Alligator mississippiensis: one gene and its partners. The protein of the gene in region 2 interacts with the protein of the main gene of each other region in a pairwise test. Links are inferred from orthologs where the notes say so. Each region holds a gene or a part of one and is shown on either strand. Other genes may lie near its edges. The genes, in order: DNAJA3, ATOSB, KIF20A and FHL5.

The links.
Region 1: the proteins of ATOSB (region 2) and DNAJA3 interact in binary tests that used the Homo sapiens proteins (3 or more experiments, as listed by UniProt). The link is inferred for Alligator mississippiensis from reciprocal best matches to the Homo sapiens genes ATOSB and DNAJA3.
Region 3: the proteins of ATOSB (region 2) and KIF20A interact in binary tests that used the Homo sapiens proteins (3 or more experiments, as listed by UniProt). The two-hybrid records come from large-scale screens. The link is inferred for Alligator mississippiensis from reciprocal best matches to the Homo sapiens genes ATOSB and KIF20A.
Region 4: the proteins of ATOSB (region 2) and FHL5 interact in binary tests that used the Homo sapiens proteins (3 or more experiments, as listed by UniProt). The two-hybrid records come from large-scale screens. The link is inferred for Alligator mississippiensis from reciprocal best matches to the Homo sapiens genes ATOSB and FHL5.

Annotation. Positions count from the first base shown.
Region 1 is NC_081836.1:25,253,436-25,260,877, forward strand, and holds the start of DNAJA3 (dnaJ homolog subfamily A member 3, mitochondrial), read left to right. Parts: upstream 1-4,430; 5' UTR 4,431-4,445; coding exon 4,446-4,644; intron 4,645-6,721; coding exon 6,722-6,858; intron 6,859-7,442. UniProt on the Homo sapiens protein: Modulates apoptotic signal transduction or effector structures within the mitochondrial matrix. Affect cytochrome C release from the mitochondria and caspase 3 activation, but not caspase 8 activation.
Region 2 is NC_081826.1:301,003,475-301,011,361, forward strand, and holds the start of ATOSB (atos homolog protein B), read right to left. Parts: upstream 3,017-7,887; 5' UTR 2,960-3,016; intron 2,951-2,959; exon of another isoform or gene 2,873-2,950; intron 2,212-2,872; 5' UTR 2,185-2,211; intron 1-2,184. UniProt on the Homo sapiens protein: Transcription regulator that may syncronize transcriptional and translational programs.
Region 3 is NC_081832.1:79,521,973-79,529,721, forward strand, and holds the start of KIF20A (kinesin-like protein KIF20A), read left to right. Parts: upstream 1-4,737; 5' UTR 4,738-4,802; intron 4,803-4,835; exon of another isoform or gene 4,836-4,946; 5' UTR 4,947-4,954; coding exon 4,955-5,122; intron 5,123-5,199; coding exon 5,200-5,286; intron 5,287-5,367; coding exon 5,368-5,487; intron 5,488-5,860; coding exon 5,861-5,999; intron 6,000-6,099; coding exon 6,100-6,287; intron 6,288-6,362; coding exon 6,363-6,504; intron 6,505-6,663; coding exon 6,664-6,858; intron 6,859-7,534; coding exon 7,535-7,646; intron 7,647-7,749. Other genes in the region: BRD8 (bromodomain-containing protein 8), read right to left, coding at 605-669, 925-1,005, 1,263-1,385, 2,697-2,746, 3,923-3,992, 4,336-4,432, 4,565-4,583. UniProt on the Homo sapiens protein: Mitotic kinesin required for chromosome passenger complex (CPC)-mediated cytokinesis. Following phosphorylation by PLK1, involved in recruitment of PLK1 to the central spindle. Interacts with guanosine triphosphate (GTP)-bound forms of RAB6A and RAB6B.
Region 4 is NC_081824.1:82,616,212-82,623,489, reverse strand, and holds the start of FHL5 (four and a half LIM domains protein 5), read right to left. Parts: upstream 3,006-7,278; 5' UTR 2,810-3,005; intron 1-2,809. UniProt on the Homo sapiens protein: May be involved in the regulation of spermatogenesis. Stimulates CREM transcriptional activity in a phosphorylation-independent manner.

The DNA of each region.
Region 1 (7,442 bases), on a different chromosome or scaffold from region 2:
AGGCGCCTAGCACCGGCCACTACTGCTTATCATGAGCAGAGCTGCCTCTCTGTATATCCCCCTCCCCAAAAAACTGTCCTGTACCTCCAGCACAGTGCCACAGCTTACACCAGCTCCTGGCCCATGCGCCAGAAGCAATGCTGGGCAGGCACTGGCATCAGCTGTGGACACAGGCAGCAGCTTCCCCCTGGGGACTGGGGGAAGCTTCTCCTTGGGGTAGAATGGCAGCTGGACACTGAACCTGCTGCCCACACCCACACCATCTCCCTTCCTCCCCTCCCCCTCTGCAGACCCATTCCACATAGGGAAGCTTGGTGAGCTATTGCAGGGTGGGGCGCTAACCTCCTCTGCAACAGGTCCCCAAAACTCCCTAGATGGCCCTCGGCCCCAAATTGCCCACCCCTGCACTAGATCCTAGAAGAGGGGATCCAGCATTCTGCCCAAGGTCTAAAAAAGCTGTGTGCTTTCATCAACAGGAAGAGGAGTAGCAATTCCCAGTGGTGACAAGGAGCGGTGCCAGGAGCAGCACCAGTGGAGCAGAGAACCTCAGATGTGGTGAGGAGTGGCAGTAGCAACTGTTGAGCAGTTATCCTCTGTCAGAGTACCAGTTACACTAAGGAGAGGAGAGGGGAAAGATTGGGGACAGCAGCTACCTTGTCTGCCCTAGCTACCAAGTTGTCCCTGCATGGAACTAGGGGAGAAATCTGGTCCTACTGACTGTGATATACTATGAAAACTTAGTTGGGATAGACTACAGACCATTACGGTCTTCTCCAAGATTGCTTATAAGTCTCACTTTTATGAGACCCTATGTAACTGTAAGTTTGCTACTGCTTGCAAGTTGGAGGTGTGTTCACACTGGAGGTACCAAGCAGCATTTTTTTCTTCAGGTTTCTGGGTGGGGGCTTGAGCTAAGTTGGATAATGTGTGTCAAAAGACAACCATCTAAATTTGACCCATGCTGTTGCCATCCACTGCCTAGCAGAAGGGTTACACTGGCAAACTAAAGTGTCCCCCATATTTAGCTGTTTTCTGAAAAGCTACTTCATTTGCAGGAGCAAATGTGATGCCCTTTGACTATCTCACAGAGCCAGAAGGAAATTATTTCAAAGGGTCAGACAGACATACTATATAGTTTTTCCAACCCAGCTTGCAGGCCTGGTATTCTAAAGATGTTTTGATCAAGAAGGACTGAGCAGGAGTCTTTGACCAGTGTAAGCCTTGAGCTGGCTAAGAGCAGAAGCACTATTTCCTTCCTGTGAGGGGTTAGGCTTTGCTGGCACTAGGAGACAAGGCTAAGCTAGCATCTCAAACCAATACTGCCCCACCACAAGCCGGGCTCCAACTGCCTCCTCACAGATAGACAGGGATATAGAAGATAAAGTGGTTTTTGATGGGGAGTTTTTTTTTCTGTTTTCAAGAGCCACCAGCCTCCCTAAGAGATAGTGTGTGCAGGTGGAGCATGAGGCCTTTGTGTAGCCAGCCCCCAGGCTCTGAGGGTCTCCACCTATTGCTCAGCCCACTCTGGTCTAGGGAGTTGTATGTGTGCCCCGCTACCCAAAAAAAGAAAAAAGGGCTCAGACCTGGTTTGGGGCCTCTAGGGGCTCAGCACAGCTGGAGTGGCAGTCACAGGCCCCAGCTCTGATGGGCTGGGTGTGAGGCTGGGCCAGGCCAGGCCCCTACTTTCCTCAGATCACTCCTCTCTGGGCCTAGCGGCTGCACTCTCAAACCTGGCTCCTGGGATAGAGTTTACCTCTTTGACCCAACTGGGCCACCAGCCATCACCATTACCCTACCAAGCATGCTCAAGAAGGTGTCACTGATTGTCCCCAAGAGGGATGCATTTTGAAAAAAAAAACCCTTGTACAGTACCGAACGGTTATACTGGGATTTCAAGTCCTTCCATGTTGGGATGATCCTGGTAGGTTCCTGCATCTTGCCCACATGACAAGCAGGCCCTTCCCAGCAGCTTAGTCCAAGGTGAAAACAGCTCATTCTCTGCAGATGAGTCCAACCTAGGAAATAATGTGCTCAGCAAAACCTGAACTTGCTGCAGGGGAGAGAGGAGAGGGCACTTTGTATCTACAGAATGGGCAAGCTGCTCCGCTAATAACCCTGGGAGTGGAAAAGTCCCTCTGCTCTTTCCTTGCCCTACAGTTAGCCAGTGCCCCTGCCTGAGGTAGATCATTGCTGGTGCCCTCTAGAAGGGAGAGGTCCCTACTCTATTCCCCACCCTCTGAACTAGCCAATCCCTATGCCTCCACCCATTCTTCAAGGAAAAAAGTGAGGAAAAGACAGCAATAAAAACCATGTTTCATATGAGAGAGTCCTTACAGTAGGACCTCCCTGCCCTGAGACATGTTATATTGGCAGGTATTTATACAGATTTCCCTTGATTTATGCAACAGATGCCTTCCCAGGGAACAGTGCATAAATCAAATTCACATAAAGCAAACCCAATTTACAATGAAACAGATAGGGATGACACTGGAGATTCCAGGTACCTTAGTTCTGCTTCCAGCTTTAACTTGCTGTGTGACCTGGATGTATTACTTTGGACTAAACTATTAAAAGGATCTCAGCCTGGCATCTGTTACAATTAACATTTAGACATCTACCTACCAGACATGCAGTTTGCTACTTACTTGGAAATGACCTTTGGTAACCACAAGGTCGGCAACTGCAAAGTTACTGTTAAAAAATGAAGTTATTAAAAAAAATATCAGGCTTGCTTTGTGCCTGAGTTTCCCCATCTGTAAAACAGGGATATGCCTACTTTCTTGGAATATTAAGATAACTAACTAGTTCATGTCTACTGCTCTGAGATTCTCTGATGAAGGTTCTTTAGGAATTCAGATCATAAGTACAGTTGCTTCAATACTGCCCATACCCACTTAAACATGTGAAGCAAGACTCCACACAGATGTTGATAGTCCCAAAATCCTACTCTCACACTACCCACATTTAATATTAGGATATCATATACCTTATCTCTTCACCAACTGCTTATCATCACTTCCCACGTGTACCTATGGGGATGGGAGAAACATAACATGGCTTCTTTTCAGTTACTTAAAGGTAGTCTTTCTAATTAAGAAGTGCATGTTCCCCTCAGCTGTGTACTTGTCATGAATCCACCTCTATTTCTAAATGTGCATTCTCTGCTCTTAAAGAGTAGCAATGATTTCTTAGGATGATATATTTTATTGGATCAGCTGTGTAGTTGTGAGTCAGACAAGCTTTTAAATGCAAGACATTCTTCATCAGCCCTGATCAGAACAAGCCAGGCACAGCCATGTAAGCTTAAGAAATTGTTACGGTATAGTCTGGCTTCTTTTTTCTTTAGGTTGTGGATTTTCCATTTTAAGTGTCAGATTTCAATGTCTTCCATGTCGTGGTAGTGTAAGAGCGATGGCATAGCCATGATGGTTCAGAAATGACATGATCTTTCACTACCATAACATGGAAAACAACATAATCTACTGCTTAACAATGCAAAATCTATAACCTAAGAAAAAAGAAGCCAGACTGCATTTCGTAATGTTTTGCGCATGAAGGCTCAGAAATAGACATAGCCAGTTGGAATGTGATCTCCTGGATCCAGGACCGGACAGAGCAAATAGCTGCACTTAATGTACCTCCAGTGCTTTGATAATGGCCTCGCCCTTCCCCTGGGGCAGGAGGTGAGCCAAGGGCAGAAGGGAGAGAGAGCTCCAGCATCTGCTAAAGTTGCGTGTGTCCCAGGTGCACAAGTGCAGGCTGAGCAGGCATGTTGTACAGCACAGACCCATTTTGCACCTGATGTTAAACTGACATAGTCTTCTACAAATGGCTTGTTTCCTTGGACTTCAGGGAGCTCAAAGCAGATGCAGCACCTGGACTAATGGACCACAAATAAAGGATTTTTATAAAAAACACAAGTCAAATGTCTAGTTGCTGTTTTAAAAAGGAAATGGGCAGAAAGCAAGCGCAGCTCCAGCCTGCCACAAAAAGGCCTCTCAGGTAGCAAGAGGGAGAAAGTGACAATCCGAGATTGGGGATGAGAAAGCCTGCGGCCAGCACGATCCGCCGGGTCTATTTGCCCGGGCAGAAGCTGAAGGCAGCGCGTCTCGCTGGGCAGGGTAGACAGTGGCACCTTCAAGCGGCCTGGGCCGCATCGCGTGGCGCCGCGGCACGCTCAGGGCAGGAGGAGCGGCCCGGGCACGAGGCAGCTGTTAAAAATACGGGGCCAACAGGAGACGCGGAAACACCGGCTTCTCCACGAGGGGACGGACGGGCGCGACGAACCCCCCCCGCAGCCCAGCCCCCTTTGCTGCGGCACGGAAGCATGCGCAGTGCTCGCCGCGCGCGGCCGGGCAAAGCTTGCGCGCAGGCGCAGTGCTCCGCGCCTTGGCCCGCGTGCGCCGGGCCGGAGGGCGCAGGCGCAGCGCGGCGCACGGGCCAAGATGGCGGCCGGCTGCTCCCCGCGCTGGCTGAGCGCCGCGGCCACCGGCCTCGGGGGGGTCCGGGGCGCCGGCAGGACCGCGCGGCTGGTGCTGCTGCGGCTCAGCCGGGGACTCAGCGCCGCCCCCGCCGCCGCCTTCCCCGCCCGGGCGGGGGCCGGGAGCCGCCTGCTGACGTTGAGAGCCGGGGTCAGCCCCGCGGGTGAGCGCCGGGCCGGGCGGGGGCTCCGCGAGGCCGTCGCCGCGGTGGGGGCTGGCTCCGCGCGGCCCGGGGGAGAGGGCGCCGGGGGCTCTGCCTGCCGTGCTGACGGTGGAGGCACGTGGGAGGCGGCCTGGCCCGGCCCTCAAGTCACGGCCTCTGCGTCCGCCTCCGTGCGGGTGTTCGGCGGCAGCAGGGCCCGGAGACGCTGTGCCGCTGCCAGCTGGGGAGGAGGCTGCCCCAGGCGGGAGTGCTCGGCCCTCTCCTGCAGCGCGGTGCGGGCCGTGTCTCCCTCTGCCCCGCGCTGGCTGGAAGCCTCGGAAGGGCCGACGTGCACGAGCCCATCCTTGAGTGCTGTAAATAAGCGGGAGCCTGTTGGACTGGCGCCATGTGCCGTCTCAGCAAATTCCAGATCAGCTTTAAGCCCCTGTTCCTCATCCTCACATCCTCCCGTTTTAGAGCCTGGCCTGTGTGAGGCCCACCCCAAAGCTGCCTACCCACGCAGTTAGTGTTGAAGACACCAACGATGCAGTTAGTGTTGTCCGGGTTAGAGGGAAGGTGGGGCAGACTTATGTTTTATAGGCTAGATAAATCAAAGATGTATAGCACAAGTCCTACAGGCTAGCAGGGTCAGCTGTCCTTCTCTGTCCAAGGTCAAGCCATTGGGAGCCAGGTAAATTAATCCCACCATTTCAATTCCTTCTTTTTTTTTCAGGGGGTCAAAATGAGTTTTCATCTTGCTCATTTTAGAGGACAGGGCAAACCTCTTTGCCTCTATTGAGCAAGATCTGCCTTGACAAAATGGAGGGAAATTTCATCTCTTAGATCTTATTTTGTGAAGAATAATGGAATTAAGATATGAAATTATTTGACTGCTCTGCTTTTACCTGCAGAATGCTTCTAAAGCTGCATTAAAATCTCTTCATGTTTTCAAGAGTCTGGGGAAGAGTAAATGCTTGCTTCTCTTAAAGTTAGTTGCATGTCTCCTGTAACTTCACTGTTACAGGTTTTAGTCTTACCTTAAAACTATAAAATGCTAGAAAATTAATTGAATATTACTCCATGGTATCTCATGATTTAAGCTCTGTGAAAAGTAGAATGGCTTCTTTGTCACACCACCACATATCTACTGTCTGCTGTGATCAGAAGTTGGCCACATACAGGGATGTTGCTAAAAAAAATTGTGAATGAAATCTTAAATTGTGTCAGAATTCTCCCTATAATTATTGCATTGGTTGTTGGCACCCATCACTATCTTAAAGGCGTGGTAATTTTAGCTCTGGTATATATATATTTTTCTAAATAAAATTTCTTTTTTGCACGTACCAAATTAAGCATCCTGTGTAAGCTTCAATACATTTTACAATCTTCAGTTAAATTGAAGTTAAAAAAGTAGAAGCTGTTTTTGATTAAGAAATGGTTTCTAAAAAACCCCTCATATTTATTTACCTTTTACAGATGGAGTATTCCATGCAGTTTTTCAGTGTAACTGTCTTGATTATTAATACAGGTTTCCCTCACTTTATGTGGGTTCTGTACATGCAAATTTGCTCTTATGTGATGACCCATTTTATACCAAAAATGTGTTATATGCGAGGTAAATTTATTCTTATGTGATTGGCGTGGTGGAAGCCCAGTCAGCTGCTTTGTGTGGTGCATTGTGGGAGTGACCCACTCCAAAATATAGTCTCTTGTGTGGATCTTTGCTCCTCACTCATTGTCTACGACATGCGTTTCTGTAGTTGCCATCCCCATTATGATTATGCCCTGTGCTTGTGTGTACTGTCTGCTGTAGGTGAGTACCAAAATTACCTTGTAAAAGTGGTAGAAATGGGTCTGGTGGTCAGTAAGTCGAGGTATTAGAATGTATCCCTATTTGTTACATTGTAAAGTCGGTTCTCTTTATGCGAATTTGAGTTATGCACCATTTTCCAGGAACACATGTTACAGTATAAAGCGGGGGAAACCTGTACACAAGAGCAGGCCGTGAAGCACCAGGAAAGGTTCTGCGGAAGGTCTGTGGTTTCTTACAATTTGTCTTGTTTTGACTTTTTTTTCTTTTCTGTCTGGCTTTTCTTAGGAACTAAAAATTATCCTTTAATATGCAATGCCTTGTTTCATACTGGTTCCTCCTCTTGCACCAAAGAAGATTATTACCAGATACTGGGAGTTCCTCGAACTGCTACCCAAAAGGAGATCAAGAAAGCCTATTACCAGGCATGTATGCTAAAGAAAAATGAAAATGGTTTAATTTCATGATTGACTTCGTGTTTTGAATTTTGTCTTGTTGGGGAGAGTGTATTATGACCCACTTTTTACTCTTACCTGAAATATACCAAAGTAAAAACTTCCAAGTACTGTCATGCTAGTGATTTTTTTTTTTTCCTTGCATGGTGGAACGAGGCCGATAATATATTAAAGGAAGTTCAGTGCCATCAGATAGATTCAACACAGTCGTCCCTGGTTAAATATATTATTTTGGGCAGTGGCCAGTATCTTTTACATCAGGGAAGGCAAAAGCCACAAAACTCATAAATATTAGTAAAATGCTGATTTTTATTTTTGGTATCTTTCTGTGGCCTTTCTTTTTGCGTTCTTTAAATTTTTTTTATACTTAAAAACCTCTAAAAATAAGCTTTCAGAGTCATTGGTAGCAAGATTATAGTTATGGTTCACTCTTGTCATTATGCATATTAAGAGCATTCTTGGTGAGCCAGGCCCTGCGTGCAATGGATAGGTGTTGATTGGCTGGCTCATGTGGAAAAGCTTTGTGATGCTTCTTTTATTATGTTCCTCATTTT
Region 2 (7,887 bases):
GGTTTCTCTCTCCCTGCAGACTCAGGCATTACAGGTCTGCCAGCAGCCGGAAGGTGTCTGGGAACTGCAGGCTCAGAGCAGCGCTCCCATGACAGCGGGAAAGGAGCCTCCCTGAAAGGGGAAGAGAAACAAGCTGAGTCAGCGACAAGCTGCAACGCAGCCGCAACCGGGCCCTGGACAAAGCAGGCACCGGGGAGAAGCTCCAGCTGACGGGTTTGTGCAGCAGCGCAGGCTCTGGCGTGTGCCAGAGCCAGGATGGGCCAGGCCAGGAGGTTTCTGAGAGCAGGCCAAGCACGGGGAGGCATCTCCCCTGACCCCGCACCCTTCTTAGCTTCACAGAGGCATGGATGGATGTGGCACTGTGCTCCCCATCCAGATGGAGCAAAACCAGCTGCTTTTGCTGGTCTGTCCGCAGCCCTGTGGGGCGACTGGATGCCGTCCACTCTCTGAGGCCGGGCCAGGAAGAGGAGAGCTGCCAGACCTTCGACTGCACGTCGTCCCTGCTGGAACGGAGCAGTGCTCTGACCCCCCAGCTCCTCGCACAATGGGGGGCTGCCCTCCCCTTAGGGTGGAACTGTGGCTTGCAAGGCACTACAGGTCCCAGCATGCAACGGTGCCTGGGCCAGCTGCTCAAATACAGGGGAGCAGCATTGCATGCTGGGACTGGTAGTTTTCCACAGGGCCTCTTGCAAGACACAGGGCCCTGCTACAACAGACCTAGCTTTGCTGCTGTCCTGCGAGCTGGAACGAGGCTGAAAAACCTCATTTCCATCATGAGCCGCCTTAATCCTCCCGACCCAAAGCCCTTTATAACGCACCACATTAGAGCCTGGCAACATGGGAGCCAAACAGGCAAATGGCTCCTGTCTAGCTCCAGCGAGGAAACCCTGAGCACAGCGTTCCAGGACCCCAGCCCAGGTTCAATGGCGCAGGCAAAGGCTGGCACCTTAGCGCCCCTGGATCTGGAACATGCTCTCCTCAGCTTGCCACAACCCAGGCTGCTCCCTTTCTGCACACGCACAAGCTGACAATCCCCAGGGGCTCAGCCCCTCTCCGCATTCAGGGTTTCCTCCTGACACAGCTGGCCCCCACATTTCACTGCCTCTTCGTCCCCAAGGACAGCGCAGGCTCAGTCAAATATGTTAAAAGCAGACCCAGGTCTGCACTGCAGTTCTCAGCAGGGTGCACTGGAAAGGCATCACCAGTGATATCTTTACATATTTAAAAAGGTGCTATGATAAAAAATACACATACACACAATATATATACATACACACACACGTGACTGATACAGTAGTGTCCAAATACGAGAGGCTGTGTATACACATACACACACGCATATATAAAACCTCTCACATTTGGACACTACTGTATCAGTCACACACACACGGCAGGGGACAGAATGATGCATCTCCCGCTCCTGAAACTCGGGTCTCACGAGTTAAGTCAAGTCCTACGGGAAATGGGACCCACTGGATTTTTCCAGCCCAATTTTAACAAGGTATTTAGGCACTTACAGTGATTTTCAAAGACCCCCCAGGTGCCCCAGCCCCACTGAGTTACTCAGGGCACTGGGAACCTATTTAGGAGCTTCTGAAGAGTCCACAAAGCATTTATCGGCGCTACTACCTGTATAAATAGCTTTACAGAACTGAGCTTCTGGGTGAAGAAGAGCACTTTGTGCCCAAAAGCCGGTGCAGTATCCCTCCAAACCACTGCTTCTTGTGCATTTCCTGGATCGCCACAGTCCAACCCTGCTTAAAAGCCTGCCCCTTCAGTGCTACCATTCCAGCCCCCGGGGGCGTCGATGCACACGTCCCCCCCGCAGCAGTTTCCCGTGGCAGGGGTGGGGGCCGAAGAGCCCGGCAGCCTGGAGGATGTTATCTACCAAGACAAACTTCCCGGTGCACTCTTGCCCTGAGCCTGTCTGGAGCGCCCCGCTTCAAGGGCCTGGCGCAGCCTCCACAGGCCCCTCGGAAATCACCAGGGGACACATTTCCACGTCCTGGTTCCAATCACCGCTCAGCTGGTGACAGCTCCACGGCACCACCAGCCGAAGCAGAGTCTGAACGCGTGACCTGGAGGAGAAAGATCCCACCTCCCCACCAGTACAGGCAGTTTCGGCTGGCTGGGCCAGCCCCAGCCCGACAGACCCACATAGTTAAAGGCAAGTCCTGCTCTTACCTGCAGGAATCAGATCCGCAGACAGCGCTGGAAAGAGAAGGAAAAGGATGGCAGAGGCAGGAAACACCGGCAAAGTCCTTCCCACACCCACACCCACACCCACCACAGCCTCGGCTCCCTCCTGCCCCCAAACTCCCCGGCAGGCGCGGCACCCCCGGATCCGCCCCACGGCCCGCGGGAGCAGGGGGAAGGGGCTTGGGGGGCACCGCGGCGCACGCCTCTCTCAGACCGTGCCCGGGGGCACCGTAACCACCCACGCTGACGTTCAACCCTCAACGCTGCCGACTCCCGGGGGGGGCGGGGGGGGCTGGGCGTCTCTGCAGGGTGCAAAGAGACGGGCAGGGCAACGCAGCGCACAAGCACCAGCCCCGGGTCGGGGCGTCGGGGAAAGGGGGCACCGCTCCAGTCATGCAAGTGCGGGAGAGGGGCCCGGCGCCCCGGAGGGAGAGCTCAGGGCACGAAACCCGGGAGAAGCGCCGGGGGGGGGGGGGGGGGGGGGGGGGTTGGGACCCCATGGAGCCCGGCAGCCCGTGGACTACAAGTCCCAGCGTGCACCGCGGCGCGCGCCGGCTGCTGCAAGGCAGGGGAGGCGCGATGCATGCTGGGACTGGTAGTTCCCCGTCCCCGGGGGCTCTGCCGCGGCCCCCCACTCGAACGCGCACCCCGAAGGGAGACCCCCGCGGCATACGTCACATCCATGACGCCACAGACGTCACGGGGCACGGCCATACAAGCGGCCGCGCAGCCACACGGGGCGGGCCCCGCCGGCACCCACCGGCGCCCGCAGCCGCTCGCCACCTCCTGCCGCCGCTTCCGGGTCCGCCTCCCGCCGCGGCCCCGCCCCCTGCCGCTCATTGGCGGGCCGGTGAGGCCGCAGCCAATGGGGGGAGAGCGCCGGCCCGCCCCCTCCACGTGCGGCTGTGTGATGACAGCGCGGAGGGGCGGGGCCCAGGGGCGGCGGCCGCTGATTGGCTGCATGGAGGGGAGGGGCGGGGCCGAGGTGGCCGCAGAGGACCCCGAGTTTCAACGTGACCCTTCACCTCTGACCCCTCCCCCCATGCATCTGTCTGTATCTCTGCATGGGGGTACACACGGCGATATAGAGATACAGATCAATTATATTGAATAAAATACACATCAAATACATAAAGGTAGATATAAAATATAGAATATATATATTTATATATACTATATACCTACAGATGATACATTATACATATGTAATATGATATTTCTATGTCATGTATATCATCACTAGCGCTACAGATGATTATACATCTACCTTTATCATCTCCAGCGCCACGTCTCTGTCTCTGTCCCTATATATGAGTATATACCTACCTACCTACCCACCTATATCATTGATATATGGCCTCCAGCTCCATCTAGGCCTCAGCGCTAGATAGCTCTGTATCTCTACACGCACCTGCAGAGGTGGAGACGGCATAGCCAGGTAGGTGCACAGTCGCCTATAGACGTACAGAGATGATGTCGATTCATAAACAGTCACAGGGATGCAGAGGTGGAGGTACCGAGAGACAGATAAATAGATCGATCGATCGATTCGATTAAGGCGAGGTTGCCTTCTGGGCTCTTCACAGCCCTGTAGGGAGGTAAGCGGCTCCAGGGAGCTGGCCTGCAGCAAACGAGGCGCTGCCTCCCCTCCCCTGCCCTCCCCTCCCCTGTACAGATAAGAATAAAACATTGTTCAGCAAAACTACCCTCACCCCTGACACAGCCCCATCACCCCCGACCCTGCCCCAGGGAAAACAGGGGGGCCACCGCCTCCAATGTCCTGCTGCTGCAAAGGGGTTCATAGATGCTCCAGAGACCCCCACTGCAAAAGAAGACAACCCCCCAGTCTGTACCATTGTGACCAGCGGGGGAAATTCCTTCCTGACCCAAATGTGGTGTCGGCGGGTGCATTGCATGTGCAATTAGCAGAAATAAACTGGGGTGCAGTTCACACCAGAGTCAGCCGCTCCTAGGTACGCCGTCTGCACGTGTGCCGGGGACCGCAGCAGTTTGAGCCAGGGCGAGCAGCCCTAGGCTGGCAGGGGGTCCGTGGGGCGAGCTGTGGGTGGCAGCAGCGGGCAGCGGAGGGGCTGGCTGGGGCACAAGGGTGCTATGGTGGGGGCTAGACGCCAGTCAGCTCCCACACTGTAGCACCCCGATGCCCCCGCCAACCCCGGTCACCGTCTACACGTGCATGCAGGTGAAGTAAATTACTCCACTGTAGGATAGTGCTCGTCCTGGACGGTACTATCCCACGGCGGAGTGGATTGCTTTCGTGCATCCTAATCGTGGCGCACGTGTAGATGGTGACGCTTTACCGCGGAGATCTATATACACGGTGTGTATGTATCTCTGTACTAGCCAATTGCCCATCAGGAATGACGGGGGAGGGAGGTCAGGGTTGGAGCGCTGCCACCCACCACCCCGCACCGCTGCTGTCTCCCAGGAGCCGGCGGATTAGCTTGCCCCGCCGTCCCCCTCCGCCCCCTCGGCCAGCACCCCATGCCGCCACCGCCTGTAGGGAGCAGGGCTGGGGGGGGGGGCGGTGCCCCCAATCCAGCTGCTCTGTCCCTGCTGTCATCGGCGCTCCGCCGCACCGCCACCTCCTGTCCGGAACACTCTTGGAGCACTCTGATTGGTTGTTTCAGACAACCAATCAGAGTGCGAATAAAGCGTTATGGACAGACAGACAGACTAAGGCTTTTATAATATTAGACTATATGAATATGGATTTAAATATAGGTTTCCCTCGCCAAACGCTGGGCTTAAGTTTCTGAAAGTTCCCGTGGTTGGCAAGACAAAAGGCTTATGGGAGAAATGGCAGGCGGCGGGCTGATGCGCAGCCACAGAAAACCGTGGTTACTCCAAACTGTATACCGTGGTTGCCAAAATGGTATCTAGAATATTAACTGTGGATACTCAAAACCTGTATGAGTAGGAAGGAAACCTGTATCTGAAGCTGGCTGTGTGTGGAGTCTTCCTTTTCTTGGACCCTTGCACGTCCGTGTCTACTCCTTATCTGTATTCTGTATCTATACATGGTTATAGATACAGATACAGACACGCTTTGGTTCACCTACAAGGTGCACATCTGCCCTGCTTTCTGCTGCGAGTAGCTGCCGTATGGAGCCCATGAGGGAGGGCGTCGTCCTCGCCTAGACATTGGGACCCCTGTGTCCATCGCAGCCCAGCCCGCTGGGGGACCCAAGCATGTCTCCGTCCTCCCCTGCAGCAGCCCGTGGCTGTTTGCTGCGTGGGCAGGGGAGGGTGTGCGACACCCGCCGCAAGTGGCCTCGGTGCTGCTGGGGCTGGTGGACGCTGGGATGCGCTGGCGTGGCGCTGCTCCGTGGCACTGCCAGCTGCTCTGTCCAACAAAGCAGGGCTGGGGCACCGGGATGTGATGGCCCCTCTGCAGACCACCTCCCCGCTTTGTCTTAGAGCTGTTGTTTCCCCGTCCCTGAGTGCAGGGTGGCGGCTGGACATGTGCTGCCTACTACGAGGCACCCATGTGGGGCTTGCAAACCTCTGGGAGGGAGCCCAGGAAGGGGAGGGGGCATGGCATAAAGCCTCACAGCAGCTCCAGAGGGGTAGCTGCACGGACCCCAGGAGTGTCCCCTTGCAAACGGGGGCGTGGGCTGGTGACGTGGCCTGTTTCTGGGCTGCGTGGCCCTTGGGGCTTCCCTCGGACGGGCACGTTTGGCTGGCTGCCCCAGCAAGGTCACCCCGGGGTGAGTGTGAGCACGCGCAGGGAGCTGCCGCGGCCTCTCCTTGGGGTGGGGCACGAGCTGCTCAGCCAGTTTTGCAGCTTGCCCTCCTCCCTGGATGCAGTGGCCCACGAGACGTGGGGCAAGAGGGCTGCCGAGAAGCACTTGACCACGAGCTGTAAAGAGGGCAGAGCCCACCGTGGCCTGTCCCTTCGGCCTGGCCTCCTGCTGCCGATGTGCCGGTTAAATAAACCCCCTGGGTTGGGGTTGGTCCATGGGTAGCACCCTACCACGGGCAGGAGCACTGGTATAAAGGAGCTGCGGGCACAAGCAATGCCCCGCCAGGCACTCTCCCATCCGCGTCGTGCTCGCACCCCCTTGCTCCAGTTCCAGGCTCACTGAAGTCTGGGTCTTATCCCTCCCCGAGGGGAGAAGGGATGCAGCTGCCTCACTTCTCTCCATCTTCTTCTCCGCAGCGTTGTCCACAAGGGAACAGGCTGCTTTCCCGCGAGGTCTCCAGCACTGGAACGACTCCGCCGCACGCTCGGACAAAGCGCAGAGCCACCTGCGTGGCTCGGACACACCTGGAGAGAGAGAAGGGCAGCCCCCGGGCCCCGGTTTCCCTCCCTGAGCTGGAGGGCAAGGCGCTGGGGCTGGAGCCTGCCTCCTGCTTGCTTTGCCTGTTTGGCTGCAGCGCTTTTATGGTGAACCCAGGCCGTCCCCGCCCTGCCCAGTGCCGCACTCCCAGGTGTGACGACCTGCAGCTCGTAGGGGGACACTTGGTCCTTGCAGTCTGGCCACCCCTGGAGTACGATTCGTGTCACGGTCCGTAGCTGCTCATGCAATGCTGCGCTGTCCCGTACTGTCTGGACGCTCTCTGGAGACGGATGTATTGCAGTGCATTGATAGAGTCCGTCTCTGGCTGTGCAGAGCTGCACGGGGAGCGCTCTGGAAGGCAAGCCCTGCTCGGGGAACGTGCCCCTCGCGGTGACTTCCCTGGGCAGCACCTGATGCTCGTGTCATAGCACCGAGCACCAGGGGCTGGGATCTGTGTCCCCTTGGGCGGGTGCTGGGGCTGGGGGTCCCTGCATCTGCACAGGGACAGTGGCAGCAGCCCCTGGCAGGCCCCGGGGCAGTGGGCTATCGTTGCCCCAGGTCTGCACCGAGCAGGGGTGCCTGGATTTGCTCCTGGGAAGGGAGGGGGAAGCTCGTCCTCAGCTCTGTGGGGGCCTCTGGGGCAGGTGTGAGCTGGCTGCAGCCCCTTCCCTGCCCTGCGTTTGCTCCTCAGGGTCTGGCCCATCTCTGAAGAGCCCCTGCCTGTGAATCGCAGCACCCCACGCTATCCGCAGACCTCCGGGCACCTCGCTTAGCAGGTCAGCATCGTTTTCACAGAGGGGGAAACTGAGGCACCCAGGAGCAGTGACGTCCTCGAAAGCCTCCCCACTGTCAGCTCAAGTCCCAGGGTGGTGCTCTACCCTCTGGAGCACGCTGCCTCCTCGATCCTGCCCCAGGCACCCTACAGAAGGGGGCTGGGAAGCCAGACCCAGGGCCTGGCTGGGCGCAGGGCTCAGGGGTTAAGCCCCAGGCGACTGGCTTTAAGGATCTCCCCTCTGCGCACGCAGCTTGGCAGCGCTTAGCCCACGCAGGGAAGAGACCTGCTGCCCTCCTGTGCCCAAGCAGCAGAAGCACACATTTTTTTTCCACGTTCCAGGTCAAATCAGCCAAATCATCTCCAAATCATACTGGATCGCTCCACGAACCGCACCGGCCGAGCAGGCAGACCTCAGCTGTTCTCAACACCATGCACGGTGCTACACCTGGCGAGCATCCTTCGTCCCAAGGTCTCACCCTGGGACCGAAATCCACGGGCAGGCATCCTACGTGCAGGCTCGACCTCACCTTGCACCTTGGCTCTGACCCAGGGCAAATGCTGGTGCCTGAGAGGGCAAACCCTTGGCTGGGGAGCTCTGTCCTGTTTCCAATT
Region 3 (7,749 bases), on a different chromosome or scaffold from region 2:
TTGCTAATCCCTACTGAGTAATTGCTAATACCTTGCCTTCAAACCTCTCCACAACCTTCCAGGGCACTGGTTCCATGCTTGAACTGTCCTAAGAGCTATGAAGCAGATCAAATTTGGAGAACAACTTTTCCCTGTGGGAGATTCAAGCAATAATCTAAATTTTGCCCGCAGTGACTAGTAACTCAACCCTGACCCCTCTAACATCTCTTTACAGACTAGTGTCTTGCTTCCTTTTTCCTTTCATTCAGAAAGAAGAAATCCAACTTTCCACCTTGCCTTGAGACCCATGTGCTAAGACCTTTATTCAGTTCACTCCCTTCTTTATAGATTCATAGATGTTAGGGTTGGAAGGGACCTCAATAGATCATCGAGTCCGACCCCCAACTGTCCGACTTTAAACTGTCTTCATTTTGTCTCCTTGCACTCTGGCACTGAAAACTGAGTGCTCCCCTCTCTATGACACCCGTGCGCCAAAGAAAAGAGACACCCTTGGTCCTTTTGCCTTCAGATTAGATCTGGAATCAGCTTTAAATTTGTCCCAAATGTTTTTTCTCAGTAGCAGCTCCTGTGTGGGGAGGAACAAGCAAGCAAAGTCCCACCTTACCCTGATAAGCAGCATCAGTAGCCTTCTTCTTCACCTCTGCCTCCTCCTCTTCCATTTTTTTCTTCCTGCACAAAGAAACAGGGTCCATGGTCACACAAATCCACCTGGTGCCACCCCATAAGCAGCAGGTCAAACACCCACATCCTTGATCTGTCTTTGCTAGCTAAGGTTCAATTAAGGGCATTGCATCCATCCAGCTTAGTTGCTTTTCTTAAGCCTTGCAACAGAGTGGCAAGAGAGAGAAGACTAATTCTCAGAGCCCTTGGGCATGGCTATCTCATGGGAAAGTGCAATAAAAAAATAGTAAGATAACAACCTACATCATAATCTCGTTGCACAGGTCCTCCAGCCTGTTATCCATGTGCCCAGTCTGAATCAGCTCTGCATCTTTCTTCAGTTGCCTACAAACAGACAGAACTACCTCAGCTATTTTACAACTAACTGCTCCAAAGAGGTAGTTAACCCCATTAGTCTGAAGATAGGCAGAAGGCATGGCAGGGTGGTACCCTAGAAATTAAAAAGAGTCTTTAAGGTGTCACTTGACCCTACACCTTCTGCACAGCTGCTCCAAGCGAGCCTCCTGTTCCCTACAATTTTCCCTGCCAGACCTCCTCCTTCAGAGCAGTGAGAGTTACACAGACTTGCAGACAATACCTACCTGTACTTCTCCTGTGTCTCCTTTATCATTTTCTTCAACTCCTCAACTCTTTCTGCTGTCAGTTTCCTCACAATGACATCTTCCACCGTTTCCACCACCTCCCCCTTCTCACCGCGCTTTCTCCTACAGAACAAGGGCCAGAAAACAAACATAGGCACCAATCACAGGAACCTCCCCAGTCCTCCTGAAAACAGCACCAGCTGCCCTGGCATCTGTCACATCTGTACCTTCTCCCCCCTCACCTTTTCCCAGCACTAATACTGGAACTCACATTGCAAAAATCACTTTCTCTTGAAAAGTCTGCCTAGCCAGATTCCCTTCTGACAGCAGTTTAGGTGGTGTGGAAAAAACCCATAACAGACAATTCTACACTAACTTTTTCACAGAGCAAATGCCTTTCTCTACTCATACGAAACACGTGTGGTTACTAACCTAGGCCAGGAGTGTTTGCATTCCTGTCAAATTTTTACCCTCGTTAATTCAACTTTGGAAAAAGACTTTTACTATCCATGCCTACGTATAAATCCATCTCAGAAGCCCATGTCAGTCATTTATGCACAGCAGAGACATAAATACTACTTTCAAACACTACAAATTTCCTTAGGCATCAATTACCAACACCAGTGCCCAGATTCAGAGCAAGAGATGAACACTACAGCTTTCACTGGTACAAAGCTAGTGTCCAGGAGAAGAATAGGGTTTCATTTGCCCCTCCCTAAACAATCCTCAAATACTGCAGGTACATAAAAGGCAACATAAAATATTAGCTCTCCTGCTCATCATTCTTACTAGCTTCTATTCTCCCAAATTTTCAGTATTCTGAGCTGTAATTTTAAGCACACAATTTTTGTTTTATAAGTTTAATTTGTTTCATTTTAAGATCTGCTGTATAAAAAAGAACAAAGCTATTTTAGTATGCAATCTATGTCCTTTTAAAAGTAAGTTATTTTTAAAAAAGCAGCATTTTTATAGAAATTACCACACACTATGTTGCCTCTCTAGCTTCCTCAAACCAGCAAGCTGAGAGCTGTGCTGGGAACTGCAGCCTAGATGCCTCAATACCTGTAACCCACTGGTTCAGGGATGAGTACAGGAGTGGTGTGAATGAGCACTCAGGATAGCACAATGACCAGTTCTAGAACCACTTACATTTGAAATGGTCCAGTCCTTTGAGCTAAGTAACAAAACATACAAAAATGAGCAAAACGCTCTAGGTAATATTACCTACCCAGCATCTCCTGTTAGGTTAGGGGGTAATTTCAAACAACGGCCCTACTCTGCTCACTTTCCACACCCACACAGTGTGACCAGATTTCTCTGCCGTGCCTGCGCCTCCTTGCTCAGTAGCAGCCAATGCACTGTCTGATGCACTGATGACACCTCCGCCCCGCCAGAGGTACTGCAGACACCACATGCCTCAGCCTTTGCACTCACTTGGGAGTCTCTGTGGTCTCCAGGAGTTCCGAATACTGAGATGCGCAGTGCTAAGGAGAAACAGAGGGAGTCAGAGCACACAGAACAGTCAACACAGCCAATTCAGTTTATTGGCAAAGCTCTTGGGTTCCCTCCTCTAACAGCCAGGTAGCCTTTGAGCATGTTTTCATGTTTCCCATACTAGTACTGTAGCAGGAAAATACTGCCACAGTACTAGTATGGGAAGCTGCAGTGACTTCCCAAGCTGCTGTGTACCCAATGCATCTATAAGGAGGGTCAGCTAGCACCACAGAGTCAGCTCTGTAATGCCAAATAAAAACTAGGAAAGAATAAATTAAATTAAAAAGGTGGCCCCACAAATTAACACGTCCTCCCCTGGTTTTCCAAGATCCTGATCTTTGAACAGTCATACTCCAAAATATCAGTGCTAGTAATAGAACAGGTTGAATACAACATGATGCTTAAAATTACAAATCTAAACTATGATTTCAAATCAACAACCAAAAATCTTTGATTTAAATAATAAATTATAATCCCATTTTGCATTTATATCGTTTAGCTATTCGCACTGAATGAGCTGAATAAGTGAAATAGAAAAAACACCTCTTTTCATCTGCAGAAGACTTGTGCAACAGTTTGGCTGGCGCTGCAATAGACTCAAGGCCAGGTGCTCAGACAGTGACTTCCACAAATTTAGGGGTGTTGGACCTAGCCGCGTTGGTCTAAGGACACTGGAGGTCAAGGCTCGTTGGGTAAATCCAATATCACTCCACCCAGGAAGAGCACAGACCATCTGCGGATGCTTCCTCAGCCTGACAAAGGGTGTTTGTGCCCAAAAGCTGGCTTAGAAGAATGTTTCCAACTACTTGAGTTGGTCTGATGAGAGATATCGCATTTATCCAAAGACTCGTCTCCCACAAATTTAGCAATTTTGCTTTCTTTGAAGTTTGGTAGCATGCGTGTAATGTGTTAGCTCTGTCTAATACCCTTTTATCAAATTATATCAAGTTTAGACCATAAAACAATATACTTTGTTTTATTTTCACATATGCTTTCATATAAATTTTAGTTTTAGAGAAAAACGAAGCAAAGCTGTTTGACGTTTAAATTAAAAGTCTTATTTAACGTTTTAAGTGGCCACTTTTCTACCCCTCTACTTGGCCGAAACTGGAGTCCCTTGAGCAAGAGCTCCCCGGCAGCGGGAAGTGCCTCCGCCTCCCCCTTACCTTCTGAGAGAACCAGTCAGGTGGGCGGCCCGGCTCGGCAAAGGGCTTGATGGCCCTGCTGACTGACACCCTGCGGGGGAGAGAAGCGGGTGAAGCCCTGCCTCCTGCCCTCGCCAGCGCCCGCTCAAGCCACACCGGGCTGCTCCCGCCGAGCTGACGCCGCTGCGACGCCTGAACAGCTTCCCTGCTCGCGGCGGCGCCGCCTGGCCAGCGCCCAAGCGCAGCCCGAGCACGGCTGATGGCTCGTGCACCGGCCCGCGCAAACAGAGCCAGGATTCAAGTCCTGCTGAACGGCAGCGACAAGCCAGGCCCTCGCCTCGCTTGTCCCGCAGCCCGGCTCCGTCCCCGTCCCCATCCCCGCAGCCGGCACCACCGCGACGACGGCCCAACCCCCGCCGCGCCGCGGCTCTCACCAGTTCTGGTCGCCGCTCCGCATGACGGAGGAGGCCAGGCACAGCTTCTCGCGGACGGACCACGGCTCCGTGGGGCCGGCGCTCAGCAGCTTGTGCTCTGCGGGGACGGACGGGCCTCTCAGGGGCGGGCGGGCAGGGCCTGCCCCCCCTCGGCTCCCCCAGCCCCGCCCGCCAACTCCCCGCTCCGCCCCGGGCCGCCCCGGCCCGTCCCCGGCCCCACGGCACTCACTGCCCGTGCCCGCCGCCATCTTCGCCGCCAGGCCCGGGCCAGAGGCGGGGCCCACCGCAAAGGTCGCCGGGAAGCGGCGCGCGGGCTGCCGGGAAGGCTGCCCGGCCCCGCCCCCAGCCTCTCTCTGGCCGGCGGCTCGGAGCGCGCGCTGATTGGCCGGCGGCTCGGAGCGCGCGCTGATTGGCCGGCGGCTCGGAGCGCGCGGTTTGAAACCACAGCACCCGCTGCTGCCCCCGAGGTCAGCGTGGCCCGGCCCGGGCCGGGGGGAGGGGGCGGCTTCACTGCCTCAGCGCAGCCTGAAGGACGGCCGGCCGGCCGGCCGGGGGCCGAGGAGGCTGTTGCCGACCGACCCGCCCGCCCTCCCGCCCGCTCTCTCTCGCAGGCCCCGCCATGGCGCAGGCCGCGCTGTCGCCGCTCGCTCCCGCGCTGTTCTCGGACGAGGAGGCCGCGTCGTCCCCGGTGCTCGAGTCTACGGCGGCCGAGCTGGGCCGGGCCGCGCGCCGGGACCTGCTCTCCGACTTCTCCGCCATCTGGCCCGCCGCGGCGGGCGGCCCGCAGGTGAGGGGGGCGGGGCCGGGGCCGGGCGGCGCTCGCGGGCCTCACCCGGGGCCGTGTGTGACCCCCGCTCTCCGCAGGCGGACCCCGAGGACGGTGCCAGGCTGAGGGTGCACCTGCGGGTCCGGCCTCTGACGCCGGCCGAGCTGGAGAAGCGGGAGGACCAGGTGAGGCGGGGGCGGCGGCTTTGGGGGGGGAGGGCCCCCGCCCCCCGCCCCCCGCCCCGGCTGAGGCTCCGCACTCCTCAGGGCTGCGTCTGCATCGAGAGCCCGGAGACGCTGCTCCTGCGGGCGCCCGCGGACTCCTTCGCCATGCGCAGCACGGAGCGCGGCGTGGGCCAGGCGGCGCACAGGTTCACCTTCACGCAGGTAGGTGGGTGCCCGTGGGCGCGGCGCGGCACGGCGGCCCTGCCGTTCACGCAGCTTTGCGCTGACGGCACCGGGGCCGCCCGCACCAGCCCCTGGTGTCTCCCTTCCCCCGCCCCGTCCCTGCGTCCGTCTGCTGCGCGTTGTCTCGTGCTCGCGGAGCAGGAGCCCTCGTCTTGCTGTCTGTCCGGTCGGCGCCCGGCGCAGCTGGCCCCCGGGCACGTCTAGCGCTCCTAGGATTATGTGGATGGAGCAGCCTGGGCCGGCTCTGCCGGGGTTCGGGTGGGGTCGGAGGTGGGTGGCAGTCCAGGACGAGCAGGGCTGCAGCAGGCCGGAGAGGGAAGTCCCGCGCACGCCCCTGTGATCATGTTTGCAGATCTTCGGCCCAGACGTCGGACAAAAGACGTTCTTTGACGCGACCATGAAGGAGCTGGTGCAGGATGTGCTGAACGGGCAAAACTGGCTGGTTTATACCTATGGCATCACCAACTCGGGGAAGACTCACACCATCCAGGGTGAGCGAGGCATCAGGTGTTGGCATACCTGGTCTCCTCGGAGGGAAGAAGTGCTGCTGTGTTGTGACTGAGCTCTGCTCACTGCTGTCCTCTCCTCCAGGGAGCAGCAAGGACGGTGGGATTCTGCCCCGCTCCCTAGCACTCATCTTCAATAGCGTGGGAGAGCAGCTCTACCGAGCCATGGATCTCAAGCCCTCGCTCTCCAGCGAGGTGGCCTGGCTAGACAGCCGGCAGGTTCAACAAGAAGAGACCAAGAAGCTGGCCTTGCTGCACGGGGGATTACGGGAGGTGAGTGCTCTTCTCCGTCCGCTGGGGAAGGACGAGGGTGCCCTGCACCAGCCTCACGTTCTGCCTGTTTCCTAGGAGCTGCTGACTCCACTGAAGAGGAGCCACAACACCGAGTCCCAGCTCCAGGCTGCCACTAGCAGCAGTTATGACAGTGGAGTGGGTGGCCTCTCGTCTACCAGCCAATTTGCCAACCACTCCGAGAGCAGCCAGCTGGACAGTATGTCTGGGACCCTACTGTGCCGGGGGAAGGGCAAGTCCTGGGTAGGAGGGGATGAAGCACACTTTGGGCAGGGGTAGAAACTCTCCCTTGTCTCCTCCAATCTGCTGGGGCTGCTGCAATCCCTACCACCCCCTCTGATTCTCCTCTGAAACCTAGGGTCTCGCTGGGCTGATCCAGACTGTGTCTCGCTCCATGCCTCGGGAGACGTGCAGTTCTCCATATGGGTCTCCTTTTTTGAGATTTACAACGAACAGATCTACGACTTGCTAGAGCCGGCTCTGCCTGGCCCGAACCGCAAGAGGCAGACGCTGCGGCTGTGTGAAGACCCGAGCGGCAATCCCTATGTCAAAGGTAGAAACTGACCCAGCAGCACTCTGGGGAAGGACCCTGCTGGATCATTCTCTCTCCTTCAGGAGACAGTAGTAACCTGGGGTGGATAAGAGAAATGTCGAGTGGCCAGGAGCGCCCATGGAAAGCAAGCAGTAGTAGGGGGAGGGATACTGCTCTAGGGCAGCAGCTCTCAACCTTTTTTGTACCAGGACCCATTTGTGAACATCAGCGGCCAGTCCTGCCCCAGTGCCTCTCACTCTTGACCTGCTAGGCCCCAGCCCCCCTGTGTGTGGGTTATGGGGGGCGGAAGGGGGGTGGGGCATGGTGGGAGAGACCCAAACAGCTCCTCATAGGTTGAAACTCTGCAAGGGAAAAGCCACAATTTCCTGCATTTTTCTTGTGGGAAAAGGAGAATCCATTTTTTAAGTCTGTTTGTGACCCTTTTGAGATATTCTTGTGATCCACTTTTGGGTCTCGACCCATGGGTTGAGAAACGCTGCCCTAGGGCATTTTTATACACAGTCAGCAGTTCCCTTCTGCTGAACTTGGGCTGGTATCCCTCAGGAGGCCCAAACAATGCAGGGAAGTTCAGCTTGGCTGTTGGCAGCAGTGAAGCCTAGGATGCGGTAGGTAGCCAGGGCCTGGGAAGGCAAACCACGTCTATCTGTACCACTTTCCCACCTGTCTGCTCTTTCAGATCTGAACTGGATCCACGTCCAAGATGCCGACGAGGCCTGGAAGCTCCTGAAGCTGGGTCAGAAAAACCAGAGCTTTGCCAGCACTCACCTGAACCAGAACTCCAGCCGCAGGTTGGGGGCAGGGAGAGGAGAGGAATGGTCTCCAGCAGGTTGTGGCGGGGAGGGCTCATTTTATGGAACTAGGTGCTGGACTGGTGCCAGAGGTGGTCGTTGC
Region 4 (7,278 bases), on a different chromosome or scaffold from region 2:
CTTCAGGCCAATTAAAGGATCACAGCTGGCTTGTTTACAGGACTTACTATGCTTAGTACTTCCATGCTTCAGCTCCAAGCCTTTGATTCCAATGCACTTTATAAATTATTAATAAACTACTCTTCATCATCTCCTTGTGAGACAAATATTACTTTCATTTTACAGAGGAGGATGCTGCAAAATCTTTATCTTACAGATAGGTCATGCAAACAGTGAAATGACTAGGGCAAGATCCTGCTTGAAAGTCTGTGATAAAAGGAGGAAAATACACCAGACTTAATGTAGTAACTACAAATTAAGACTTAACATTACAATCATTTTAAAGCCCTTGGGTGTTTAAAAATGTATGGATGACTACTGATATCACTGAATTATTATTGCATTGGGTAGTATGATCTGGTAAAGAGCTGGTGCACTAAAATGTTCCACTTATTAACTTGATAAGCCAGTAGTTATGGTTTAACAAAGCTAACATTAGCCGTGTTAAACCATATGCTAATGTTAAAATATGGCTAACATTATGCATAATATGAAACTTGCTTGGGTGCACACTTACATGCACCCAAAATAGCAGATAATTCAGCAAGATAATGGATTGTCTACGTTAAGAAAAGCTGAGAAGTGTCCAATGCTTTGTAAGCATCATCTATCATGACAGATGCTATGGATGGCTTAGATTAATACCTTTAAAGCTGAAGAGTGTCTACTTAGCCTGACAAGTTCTTCCGATGGCATAACTGGAGCAAATTCCATTGCAATTTAGCATGCATGTACAACTACGTTTTAACTGATGATAAATTATCCAAAGTGTTTTGTGTACAAATTAATTAACAGGATGAGTAGGTGGCTAGAAGAGATAAGATTGTGAAGGACATTGATATATATTTCATGAGAACTACTGGAAGTACCATGACTAGAATAATGGGGGAACAAAAAGAAACTGAAATAAAAAAGAACCTGACACAGGAAACATTAAAACAGCTTCAGGGCAAAGAGTTGCAAAAGCCAAGCCAGACCAAGAAATACATGGAGGGAAATTTCTGAAGTCAGATTATCAGGAATCAAAGAAAAGCCTTAGCACTGGAAACAATGAGGTGGGACGAGCCACTACTTTGTCAGTCATCTTATAGTTTTATAAAATTGTATACATGAAAGAGCTATGAGAGAGATTTTTTATCATTTTCCATTAGATTTCCTGTATTTTTGAAGCAGCTTTTGTGCAGTGCTGTTCAATTTCCGAAGAATCCTATTAATTTAATTCCTATTATATCAAACCCTCCCTAATGGAAAAAAGTCTATAAGATAAATGGACTGAGATTTTCAAAGCCACATCCACAGATCTGGATGACCACTTCCTAATAAATGCAAATAAAAAAATGGAACATAAGTGGCATTTCATTATTCCTATTTACAAAGCCTGCTTGCAGACGTAACCCCCCCCCAAAGTAAACGGTGCTTTACTTTATACTCTGTGCACCCCTGTGCTGAGTCAAGAGGCATCATGCCCACAAGAGGCATCATGTTAGTTAGTTTTCCATGTCCATCACAGCCAAAGTGTTGGGGGCTCCACAAGAACTATGAAGCATATATAACTAGACTGGAAGAGATTGAATTCTTAGAATTTCTCTATGTGGCACCTCTCAGAAAACTGACAGGGAAATACTCACAAAAAGTAAATTTGACCCCATCTTTTGCTATTTACACAGACTTCAGCTTTTAAAATTAAACCGTAACAGCAGAAAATAAATTGTAAAGAAAGCTGGCTTTACCGGCATGTGGGCAAGAGGACATCTTAAGGGATTTATGATATCTATCAAAAGTATTCCTCAAACTTTGCCTACAAATAACCTTGAGATACCATGGGTCAAAACTGATCCGTCGCTCCTTCAAAAGCCCTGCAATTTTCTCGCTTTCAACTAGTAGAAGTTGGAGCTTCAGAGTGTATAACAAATATGTTGAAAATAGAGAAAGCTATAAAATAGTATACTTCAGAATATATTTGTGATTACAATATAAATTGTGTTTAATAAAACTATTAAGTACGATTTTGGTCTTGTATTCAAAAGGAAAAATGACTCTCTGTTACCTATATGAACATAGCACCAAACATAGTGCTCTCTACTACCTATATGAAATCAGGTAGCACCGATTTTATATTGTATTGTCCTTCAATTATGGATAATTTCCATCTTTTTATCCATAAATGCAAAACTTTTTTTTATGCACCGATACATCTCTTCAACCTAATTGTAATCCTTTAAATTCTAAATCTGTATGAAATTTAAAGGGACATTTGAGAGCTCTCCCCCAATGGTAGATAAATATCCAACACACATTGTCCCAATTCTATGAGAAAACAAACATACATTTTGTTAATTTCCTGAAGAGATGATGGTAAGGTCTAGTTGCTCTTTTAAAAAAAACAAAAAACGATAGTAATTAATAATCTAATTAATAGCATGGATATGATTAAACTTTCAAACAAATGTTGGAGCCTCTTCTTGGTATATCTTAAGAAAACTGTTAAAATTTTCACACAACTGCAGGAAATTTGAAGAAGGTGCATTTTAAAGGAAAAATTCAGGAAAAATCTACTTTTTGATATATATAGCATATGCCTTTATCTTCGTTAAGTCACTGTAATTAATTAAAACAGTCTATTCAGAATCAAAGATGAAATTAGAAGTCATGTGTAAAGAGAAATTCTTGCTTAGCTGTTCATAAACTGTTCATTGGTCACCTGGTACCCTGGCATTTCAAAATGTTCTCAAATAAAACAGGGGTAAGAGAAAGGAGATACAATACTTACATTTGATTTCAAGCTGCTTCTGTTGGTGACCGTGTAGCAAAATAAAGGAAGAAAAATAAGATGTTTTCAGAAACATTCATCAAGTCCAAAAGAAACAGAATTGTTTGCCAAAGCTATTTAAGAATCCCATCAGAATTTGGCTCGGTGGAAGTAGGCTGAGGGTCAGCTCGTTTCCCTTAGACCTTGTGACATGCAGATAGCTGGCTCCCTCAGCTCTGAAATCAAAACAATTCTTTGACATAGTATGCTCACACACTGTAGAAAAATATATATCATGTACAATGTTCTTAAAGGAGCAAGTCTCAGAATGAGTTTTGAGAACTTTTTCAAAGAAAAAGCACTTGGACAAAACCTCTGCTTCCCCCACTCCCACATATCTCTTTTCCCCCCACAAAACAAAACCGAAAAAAACGACCATTGCAAAAGAAACTGAACCTATTCATTCTTTAACCATTGTATATTGACTTTCAGCAGTATTTCCATGGGACTTGATTGGGAAGTGAAACTCAAAACTCCCCACACCCCCTCCTCGATCTTTGGGGTGTTCTGAATTGGATTTGTCAGGAAGGGGCAGAGCAGGATGAGACAAAAACTCCAGTCTTTCAGTACAGAACCACTGGCATTACTATTCCAGTTTGATGTGGATCTTGTATTCAAAAGTTACTGGACAGAGGCAACAACAACCATTCCAGTCACAAGAACTAATGGCTCCTTTCTGTCCTCTCAATGCTCTCATACTTAAAATGTGTAAAGGGCAATTTTCCCAGCATTTGATAAAGTGAACAACCTGAATGGAAAGTCTCCTGCAGACACTGGGCAGCAAAAGTCCCCATTTTGTGTGGGGACTTGGTTGAACTTCACTGGAGGAAAAATTCATCTATTGTGAGGAACCTAGAGGAGAACAAGAGGATCAGGAACCACCAGTATGGATTCACCAGGAATATTGTATCCATTAAAACCAGAGTGAAATTAAACAGTGGTTCAGTTATGGCTTGAACAACTCAACTTTACATCATCAGGCCCTCTGTGCACCACTAATACAACAATATATTGAAGGGCTACATCAGGTTTGGTAGCTAATGTTTCACGGAGCAGGAGCCCTGTTTTATGAGACAGCCACAACAAATACATGCATCTCACCTTTCTTTAAACAAAAGCATTTAGTACATCTTAGATGATGATTAGTTGTCACTTCTAAAGAAATGTTACCAGATACTTAAGATTATACTCCAAAAATTGCCAAGTAAAAATGCAGCAAATTATCATCCAAATCACTTTGTCAGAAACCCAATACCAATCAAAGTAACACACAAAGGGCATGTCTATGTGTTGCCATATGGTGACATTGCTACCATGCGTGAAGTACATGGTTAGATTTTGCTGTTCCATTGCCGTAGCAGCACACTATACTGGGGGAGCAGGTCACTACGGCGATGTAGCTGGCGATCATGTGTAGCCCTGCGTGATCACTACGGTGCCGGAAGGCAATGTGTAGATATACCCATACACTATGTTCTTGCCATGTATAGAATGAAATACCACAGGAAGTAAGTTTCTCACCATGTATAATAACCATTAGTCTTTTTACTAACAGTTAGCAAACAATTCCAATTTTTCCAACATTTTTGTTTTTGTAAGTCATGTTTCCTAGTTTGTAATCATTTTTGTTGAATACTTCTGATCTTCTAATGACGTTTGCTGGACCCTTTTCAGTTTGTTCACATTTTTCTTCAAATGTGGTGCCCAGAACTAGATACAGTACTCAATCAGTGCTGAACAGAATGGAGGAGTCTCTTCCCTTGACTTGCGGGTGGGGTAACATTCCTGTTAACACAACCCAGTATGCTATTGGATTTTTTAGCAAAAAGAACAAGCTTTTGGCTCATATTTAGCTTGCAGTCCACTATAACCACCGTAGTTCTTTTCTGCAGTACTGCAGTCATTCCCCAGTCCCTATTAGCACATTTAATTGTTCTGATTTAAGTGCAAGACTTATAGAATTTCATTTGATTAATTTTGGACCATTTCTCCAATTAATCAAGGACATTCTGAATCCTAATTCTATTTTCCAAAGTGCAAAATTCACTCTCCCCAGCTTGGTGTCACCTGCATATTTACTAAGTGTACATTCAACCCCAGCTTCCAAATCATAAATGAAGATATTGAACAGTACCAGACCCCATAAGAACCCCACTAGATACCTTTACCCAATTAGATCCTGGAAATGTTTTTCAGATTATACTTGGGTGGGGAAAATAGTCTTAAGTATGAGAAAGAAAAACGTCTATTTTCTACAGTCAAACCTTCTAATTATCCGGAAGTTTCAGATGACCAGTGTTTTTGTCTACGACTTTGCTTTAATCAAGGTGACGTTACACCTTAGTCATAAACCGTAATAACAGCATTTAAAAATGCGAGCATTTGCACTTTAAAGCTCATCAATTTTTAAGTGCAGTCCAAGCATCTCTGGGCCATGCAACCTAGCTCATGTTAGCTCCTAGTCTGCTCCATGGAATTCAAACAACCAAGTTACAGTCCTCCAGCATCCCAGGAAGCACTGCTTCCAGCCCCTCTCCCTCCCCCACAGAACAGGGATAAGAGTCCAGGCATCCTGGCTCGTAGCCATACCCCCCCACCCATCAAGCCTCAAGTGGCAAGTCATAGCTGTGCAGGCAAGAAATGATATCTGGGAAGGGGCAGGAGACTGCTGACCGGGTTTTTCTCCACGATCCTCTTCTCTCACTGCAGGGAGAGAGAGGCTGGCCCCAGGGTGGCAGTTCAAGATCAGCCTAAGCCTGAAGATCAGGGTGCGAAAAGGGCCCGGGGAGTGAAGGGGCTGGAAAAGGACTGAGAGAGGGCACGCTGGGAGAGGAAGCGTCGGGGAAAGCGTTGGGGAAATGCCACAGAGGGAAGAGCCAAGGCAGAGAGCCTCAGCGTGGCTTGCTGGGAAGGGGAAGCTGCAGCAGGACGTCAGCCTGGAGAGGGGCTAGCAGCGAGCCAGGGAGCAGCTGGGCAGAGTGGCTGCGAAGATCGGAGGAGCTGGAGGAGATGAGGCAGAGCCAGGAAGCCTCGCATGGAGAGCAGAGCCATTGGCACGCCCCAGTAAAGAGCAGCTGGGCAGCTGCACGTGGCTCACCAGAAAAGCTGAGCCAGCTGTGCACCCTGGTGAAGGATGGCTGGGAAGACACATGTGGCTTGCCCAGAGAGCTGAGCCAGCTGTGCACCCTGGTGAAGAACTGGAGGGAGAAGGGCTCAGAGCTCCAACTGGACGGGCAGCATTGGAGCCCAGAGGTACCCAGTGGGGAAGAGTGGGGACGGAAGCCAGGAGGCAATGCCAGGCCTAGCAGGGAAGCCCCAACTGGACCTGAGGCTAGTCAGAGCTCGGAAGTGATCCATTGGGGTGAGAGTAGACCCTAGGAGGGCTGAAGCCCTAGTGATGAGGCAGAACATGAAGTCCCAAGCAGCATCGAGGCCAGGAGCGGTGGCTGGCTGGGTGGGTACCTGGGGGCACAGCAAGGCACTAAGAATTCCCACTCAGAGTATGGCAAGAACCGATAGCCACAAGTCTATACCAGCGGAGGCTGGTCAATTGTACTTTAAATTAATTCCTAAGTTATTATTGAAAGAATTGCCTAAAGCAAATCTGTGATGAGGTCAGTCACAGGGATGTTAGTCCATGCCAAAGGATGGCTGACAACAGGCCGACAACTTGGGAGCAGCACATACAGGCTCTTCCTGGAAGGGGCTGGGCTGGGATGCGCTTGGGGCAGGCAGCAGTGGCAGTGCTGGGAGGCCAGCTATGGGGGCGGTGGGGGGCTGCAGCCACCCCATTCACCACAGCCTCAACGCCCCCTCCCAGTGCTGCCAGTCACCCCGACCTTCCCTGGGTGCAGGCTGGCCCAGCCCCTGCCAGGAAGACCCCAGAGCAGCTCTGGCCCCAGTCCACAGCTGCAGCCTGCTCTGCCTAGATCTGGGAGGCACATGCCTCCCCACCAGGGTGCACACAGTGGCAGGCGCTGCCCTGCCCCCCGATGAACCATGGCTCCATCCTGAGCCCTGCCACGGCTGTGCAGCCCCAGCCTCACTCCCTCCCTCACTGTGGAGGCATTGATCTACCCCCACCCCCAAGTCTCTTCTTTCCCCCCTTCCCTTCCACCACAACAGACTTACCAGCTGGACACAGCTCTCCATACTGCTGAGCTGTGCTATGTGCTGCACTATGGCTGCACGCATGCATGGGGCATTTATTGGCCACATTATTGGCCACATCAGGCCAATTTCCGATGCAGTCAATTTTCTCTATAACAGTGCCGATCCAATATCGGACCCATGTATTGGTGCACCTCTGCTTCCTTGATTCACATTCTTTTTTTATAAAGTGCAGACAATCCCCTCAAACATTTTGTGGAGAGTGCAGAGTGAGTGGGGTAAGAGTGGAGATTGGGAACAGAACTGCTGCCTTGCAACCC